2 linked regions of the Xenopus tropicalis genome follow. The protein of the gene in region 1 interacts with the protein of each later gene in a biochemical or structural test. Links are inferred from orthologs where the notes say so. Each region holds a gene or a part of one and is shown on either strand. Other genes may lie near its edges.

Evidence for each region.
Region 2: the proteins of cdc42 (region 1) and cdc42ep2 form a complex in vitro, tested with the Homo sapiens proteins (3 studies listed by BioGRID). The link is inferred for Xenopus tropicalis from reciprocal best matches to the Homo sapiens genes CDC42 and CDC42EP2.

Annotation. Positions count from the first base shown.
Region 1 is NC_030683.2:94,425,855-94,429,418, forward strand, and holds part of cdc42 (cell division control protein 42 homolog), read right to left. Parts: intron 2,999-3,564; coding exon 2,889-2,998; intron 2,809-2,888; coding exon 2,611-2,808; intron 1-2,610. UniProt on the Homo sapiens protein: Plasma membrane-associated small GTPase which cycles between an active GTP-bound and an inactive GDP-bound state. In active state binds to a variety of effector proteins to regulate cellular responses. Involved in epithelial cell polarization processes.
Region 2 is NC_030680.2:31,692,238-31,696,351, reverse strand, and holds the start of cdc42ep2 (cdc42 effector protein 2), read right to left. Parts: upstream 2,834-4,114; 5' UTR 2,749-2,833; exon of another isoform or gene 2,745-2,748; intron 1-2,744. UniProt on the Homo sapiens protein: Probably involved in the organization of the actin cytoskeleton. May act downstream of CDC42 to induce actin filament assembly leading to cell shape changes. Induces pseudopodia formation in fibroblasts in a CDC42-dependent manner.

The DNA.
Region 1 (3,564 bases):
GTAAGGAGGTAGAAACAATAGGATTTCTACCTCCTTCTGCCGATTCAGCTCTGAAGGGAGAATTTTGGTCAGGCGCCTTCTATGGCGCCCGATCAAAATTTTCTAACTTGGCCGATCGGCGAGCCGACCGATTTCAGCAGCTTCCTGCGATATCGGTCGGCTCGCTGACATGCCATACACGCACCGATTATCGTACGAAACGAGGTTTCGTACGATAATATCGGTGCGTGTATGGCCACCTTAAGAGTATGCATTTCTAGCCCCACATCAAATTTCAAAATTAAATATAAAAAAAAAAAGCGGTTTGCTCTTTCAGTGCAGGATTTTGCTGGAGGAGCACTATTACCTGCATGTTGCACAAGAAACATGTTTTGCCATGACAGAACACCTTTAAGAAATGGTGCAATATGTTCTGAGGCAGAAGATAAGTTCAGGGGCACTTACATATTACAATGTTGGATTGTCGAAAGCCATTTTAAATGCTGAGTAACTGGATTTATATTCTAGGCTTAAACTATAAGTGTGGGCAAAAATGTCAAGACAAAGAAATTTATCCTAGGAGCTGTTCAAGCCAAGTATATAACCCAACGGATTGAAAAGGAACATGCTGCAAAATGGAACAAGTGTGTGTATGGCTATACCCTACATGAAATAGAAATTGTACATGATGTCATGATGCCAAATACTGTACATGATGCCACCCCAAGTGCAGTTAATTAGCTCCGAGTAGTAATATCCTTAAAATAGTGCCACAGTGCTTTAGGGCTCTGGCACACAGGGAGATTAGTCGCCCGCGACAAAACTCCCTGTTTGCGGGCGACTAATCTCCCCGAGTTGCCATGACCCGCCATCCCTCCAGCGAAAAAGCCTCGCGAGTCTTTTTCGGCAATTTCGGGAAATCGCGCCGCCACGCGTGCCATCCCGCCAGCGACTTACCTGTTCGCCGGTGGGATGGCGGGTCATGGCAACTCGGGGAGATTAGTCGCCCGCGAACAGGGAGTTTTGTCGTGGGCTAATCTCCCCATGTGCCAGAGCCCTTACAGAGACACAACATGCATACAGTTGGCAGATCCAAACTGAGTCTTCTACGTAACCCTTGCAGCTGAGTTGAGAATTTAAAGTAAAGGAAAAAAAGTGATTACAAAAAGAAAAAAACCTGAAATGCAAACCGAAAATAAAAATGTACTTTACTAAAATGGAAAACACTGTAAACCAAATAATCTGGCAGGTCTGTGTTGAAAGCCAAGTGGTCTATACGATATCAAGGCAATAATCCAGTGAAATGGATTTTCCAAGACAACTGGGTTTATGTAGAGGCAGGGGAATAACTATAGGCAGTTGAGGGCAGAGGGGATACATGGGGAACTGAAAGATAAGCAGTCTACAGTCTGGCAAATTGTCTTATTCACAAAGTTTAGGAGTGGTAAATTAAATCTGTTGAGACCAGTAAGTTCTATTCCACTGTGTAGAAGACCATAACTGCAGAAAGCTTTTATTTTCATGTAAGCACTGAGTGGCTGCAGGTTATGTAAACATCGGGCAAATTCCCCTGAATACAGCAGAAGGTTTACTGCAGGCACAAGAGTTAGTCCAAGCTGTTAGGCTGCACATTACCTTGCAGCAATAGCAGGAACAACAGTGTTTCTTTAAAGAGAACACTCCTTGAATTGGGTGTATTGGCCCTGTATGGGGTAGGTGGCTTGATGAGAGTAATCTACAAAACTCCCATGCTCTAAAGAAACAAGGTTAATATAATATTTTAAGACGAGGCAACAAAATGTCTTAAAGCAAGCATGTTCTATATATGCCTTGAAAAGGAAGTGTAGGAAAGAAAAAGGGGTTAACAAAAAATAAAATGAAAAATGGATAGAGGGTACTTCAAAAGGTACTAACTGGACTCTCCTAAATCTATTTACAATGGTTGCCTTTCAGATACAGGTATAGTATACATTATCCAGAAAACTCTGAATTAAGGAAAGGGCTTGTCCCGCAGACTTCATTTTAAATAATTTTTTTTAAATATGTTCCTTCTTCTCTGTAATAAGTACCTTGTACTTGCTCCCAACTAAGATCTAATTAATCCTTATAGGAGGCAAAACAATCCTATTGGGTTTATTTAATGTTAAAATGATTTTTAGTAGATAGGGTATGGAGATCCAAATTATGGAAAGATCCCAGAAAACTCCAGGTCTCAAGTGTTCAGGATAGCAGGTCCCATACCTGTATACTTCCATGGAAAGTCAGTTTGATTGTGTATTTACAGTCTTCATAAATTTGTAATGCACTTTCCAAAATGATAACATTTTATATAGAAAAAAGGAATGTGTTTTCTGATCTTCTGTTTTAAAATACTCTACTACAACAATCAAGTAGATGCTGATCCCATAATATGAACCAGAATTTGTATTTCAATACATTTCTATTTTTTTGGCATAATACCCTTTTCTTCCTCATACAGTTATAATATACTGCATCAGCCTTCAAGCTATTTGTACTAGTCCAAAATCTAAACTATTATGCAATCTACTTGAGAGCTACAAGTTAATGAAGGTCTAAGAGTATAACCATTGGAGAGCATTAAGCTCTACAACATAGCTGCTGTTTTCTCACCTGCGTAAGTGCAGAACACTCCACATATTTTACTGCCTTTAAGTCACGGGCCAGTTTCTCAGCTGTCTCTGGAGTGATTGGTTTCTGTTTGTTTTTTGCCAGTTTCTCAATTGTTGAAGGATCATCTCTTAAATCTATCTGGGTGCCAACCAGCAGAAATGGAGTTTTGGGACAGTGATGAGTGATTTCAGGTACCCACTGAAAACAAAAAAACAGTTTTGGTTTGAGGATAGTTTAATATAGTAAAAAGAATAATCACAGTAAATGACTTAAAATACCTTTTCTTTCACATTTTCAAATGAAGATGGAGACACGACGGAGAAACAAACTAGAAACACATCTGTCTGTGGATAGCTAAGAGGTCGTAATCTATCATAATCTTCCTGTCCTGTGGAAAGAGAGCAATACTAGTTAAAAAGAGTGCACGCTGAATACTGTCACCATTTAAACCTAGCCATACAAGAGTTCATTAGTTATAGACTGATTTATTTTACTAAAGAAAATTGTTCCAAAGTTTGTTACCATGTCTAGTAGTAAGCATGGAGTCAACCTTTTTTAAGCACCATATAGTGGAACGTCATCCTATCACTACTGCAGTAAGCATTTGTCAACTAACTGAAAAACTATCAATACCTATTTGTGCCTCTGCCATTCAGGTAAATAGAATCCACCTGTCACCACTGGTGGCAGTTTTCATCCATCTTAACGACATAAAGCTATCAGGCATTTTTCCTCCGAAAAGAGAAATGTTACTTGTGCTACGGGCCTTATATTTTCATAAAAGCAGATGTAAGTAAAAATCACAAAATTAAACCTACTGACTAGAAAAGCATACAGAGGGTCAGTGATAAGATTATGGGCAACAATAACAGACATATTCTAAAATGACAGGACAAAGAAAATCCATATTTCACTTGGACAGTTAAACTGTTCCTTAAAAAAAGGAATGAATGC
Region 2 (4,114 bases), on another chromosome or scaffold:
ATATCACAGTTGCATAATACTATTCAGTCAGTTTTAGACCAAAATGCAGGACTGCCTATACATAAAACAAATTGCAACAAAGTGATCTGCCCAGCTGGTTGGATCAGTGCAACTAGGCCACATGTACTGAAGGGAAATACAAACATGGTTGGATATCCACGTTCTGGCCATTGTGTTCCCATACTCACAGCAGAAGAAAATAAAAACAGCAATGTGCTGGTGGTAGTTGCAAAGAAACGGACACCAATCCTGTGATCTAAAAAGGAACCACTCATCTTTAACTAAATCGAAAAACAATGAATATATTAATAGACGTTTTGCCTTTATATATGTAATGAAACCCACAACATTTTACATTAGTAGTTCCCAAACTATTGAGCAGGGGGGTGACAGCTGGCCACCCACGTGCTAGGCCAAAGTAGGACAATCCTACCCCATACAGAGGGGACTGCAAGTCCTGTCAGATGAGGACTGACACCAACATGCTGACAGGGTCCTTGTCAAGTATAAAAATAAAACCTGTCCCTTTGATATCTGCTCTATTCTCATCCAGATATCATTTGGCCAATCCCATCAGTGGGTCCAATACATGGGCCAATAAGCTGCTGACTAGGTCTGGAAGGTTAGCTTTTATTGGGTTATGTATAGCCACCTATGTATGGAACTAAATGGCAGATAAATGAATGCTATCCAAAATCTATGTAATGAACTATGTAATGAACTATGTAATGAACTAAAAGCTGTATGAAGCCTTTTGTACTTCCAAAAGAAACCACCCCAGGGGTGGTTTCCTAACCCTATAGCTCTGGTGGTACCAAAGCTGCTGTTGTAGCCCCTGGCAAAGTGCTTGACCTGCATGGAATTATATATTTTAATAAAATTTGTAGTAAACATGAATTTGCATGGTGGCACATCAGGTTCAGGTAACATCGTTGTTCTACGTGTATTTTGTACACTCTCCCAATTTCTGCATGGGGTGCCTCCTAGAAACAAATGATCACTGTTTGACAGGGACCCTAGATCGCCACTGGGAGAGGGACCGAGTTGACATAATCTTTGCACAATGCAGCGGCTTTATATAAATAGAGGTCCATTTTTACTAGAGACTGTGCTATAGTCCAAAGACTGAATGAAACTAGATCATGGCCTGGAAATATGCTCCCTTATTGAAGTAGAAAAGGTATCTATAGCATTTTCATAGACGGTAAACTGTTCTTATTTCATTATTGACACTATTTAAATTTAACAAGAGCAATTCAAAATCTAATCATTCTATACCTGTTATTATAATATCCCTTTATTGTGTTGCAGCATACCTCAATGGCTTACGAGAATTGTTTTCCACTGCCATAAACAGAGTATTATAGTTTGGCTATTTCGGGTCAAATTGCAAAACCCTCACTCCATGCCGATTTCCACTAAATCCCCTATTATAAAGCACCTGGCAGAAGGGAAGGATCTGTTATCCGCAAAAGCCAAGGTTATGAGCATTTCGGATAATAAATACATGATAGTTTCCCCACAAGGCCCAGACTGGCAATCTGTGGATTCTGGCAAATGCCAGTGGGGCTGTTGTAAGATGCCATAGACAGTCACTGATAGTTAATGGGCTGGCATGGACTATTTGGGCTTTTTTTGTATCCCAGTCTAGACCTGTCTACCAAACCCTTTCATATAATGGGAAGCGACAGATACCACGCCTCACTGCCACTTCCTTTGAGAAATGCGTGTTCCCACATGTGTATCCCGACTGTACAATATGACGTACAACTGGCCAGCTGGTCCCCCAAAATCAATCATCCTGTGGTTTGAACTATGAACCTTACAAGATGGCTTTTATTTAAAAAAGCAACTTACTGTTCCTTTAAGATTGAAATGGCAGTGTGTAATATGAGGACAAAGTAAATTGATATACTGGGGCCTCTTCCTGTCACAGAGGCCAAACCATTGCTCATCACAGGGACTTACTGCATCAGAAAAGATTCCAGGTAAAGCACTGCCGATAACCGGTAACACTATATAAGCTGGATTTGTCAATTTCAGCACAGAACCTCCTATTCAGCCTTTCTAATGGCACTGAGAGCAGCATGTGACAGTGACTGTTTACAGTGGCGGCTCACGAGGTGGAATGACATTCACCCATCATGTGTAAATCCGACGAACAAATTCACATACAGTTGGGATTATTAGTGTATTCCTGGCAGACTTATTTAGGCCAAAATAGACAAGAATTAACCAGCAAAGTCCTACAGGTCCTAAAAGAGGGGAACTGGGCAGAAATAGACCTGAGTAAGTGAACATTTCAGAGTAACACCACTATGTAGGGAGTATAAGCACTATAATATATATATAATATATACATACACACACACTGGGTGCAACTAGCCACAAACAAATCTGCAATGTGACTAAAGAAAGATCTGTACTTCCTGGTTAGCACTAACTGCCTGGTACATGCAGGAAATGGCTTACCTGCTAGCAGCCCTACACAAGGCAGCACATTTAGCACAGATTTACAGAAGTCACAATAAAATGAACAGAAGTCGAACAGAAACACAGTACTTAAACATATGAAAACTGTCTGAAGGAAACTGACAGTTGTTACAGAACTTCAAAGGAGTCTGGGAGCTGTAGTTGCACAACATCCTGAGAGCTAGCGCTGTCTAACACAGTCCTTAATGTAACTACGTCAAAACAGCGTGGGAATAACAGCATACATATATAGAAGTGTATAGAAAACGCACTCACTACACGTCTCGTCCCAGAGTTCGCAGCCGGAGTTGGGAGCGGCTGTAAGCCCCCTCTATCTGTCGCTCAGGGTCGGAGTATCGCACAGCCACAGTAGGGAACTCACGCAGCGCACATCAGCCAGCTCTGCTTCTCACAGCCACAGCCCCGCTGCAAATTATTTGGGAGGAACCTAAGGGGGAGGGGCTAGATGCTGGCAGCCAATAAGCGAAGAGACATTCTGGGCAATAGTATGTGGCGGGATTTTATGCTTTCCCTTTCCGTCAGTATTTAACTCCTTCCCTGGGATGTGTATACTATTTACTGCACTCTATTTCTTTCAATTAAGCCTTAACCCTGTGTTTTTTAGGCTCCTTTAGGTAAATATTCAATTTGTTACTGTTTGACATAATCAATTTCTAGTGCAGAGCACAATAACACTCTCTGCACTATAACAGCCAAAATTCTGATTTCAAATGTAAGCTCTTTAAGTTACCAGAAGCAGCAGCAACCCTGCCTGGATGTATGAAATAGACCTGAAAAGTGCTGCAGCATTGTCTGTTATCAGGTGATTTATATACAAGGCTATAGGGCAGATCATCTTTTCTCCATTTGTTTCCAGAATCCTGTTATGACTTATCTCCATCTGTGTAGAAACAGCAGGCAGAGAAAAGCCTATAAACAACTCTGTGTGCCAGTAACCTAAGGCTAATGCCACAAGGGTGTGCAGGCAAAGGAAAATGGTAATGCCAGTATATGAGTTTATCCCCAGGCCTAGAATCAGCCCTGTGGAAACGACCATACTCACCTTTCTTTTGCTTTACAGAATGAGGGGAAAAAAAGAGACTGGAGTGCCTCATGAGGAGAAAGATTGCCTGGCTACTAGGGAGCTGGAGGAAGGGGCCATACCGCTGAAGGGGGTTTGAAAGAAAAATAATCCATCTCTCCCATCAAAGCAGGCTCAGGTAAAACTGATGCCACAAGTGGCTGATTTTTGGCCTGCGGGGAAAAACACAGGCTGAGAAGCTGCCCCTCCACTGGCATCAGCCTTTGCCAGCTTTGATAGCTACTCTAAGCAGGCATATTGTAGAACCACCAAGCAGCAGTTACACATAGGCAAGCAGTATAAGTAGCCATATAGTGCCAGTGGAACTGTAACCGGTGATACAGTGATGTTTAGGTCATTTCCATCTAAAGCCACCCAACCCATGCATCAGCCCCTCACATGACTACAGTGATAGTTACGTTCAGTAGCAACTTTGGCCATCAATGTCACCACTGAAATATGCAGTAGAACCCCAATTCCATTGGGTTGGAGCCCCAGCTGGACATCATCACTGGGGTATTTGTTTCCCCTTCTCATCCTAAGCTCTGCTTACTGATATCA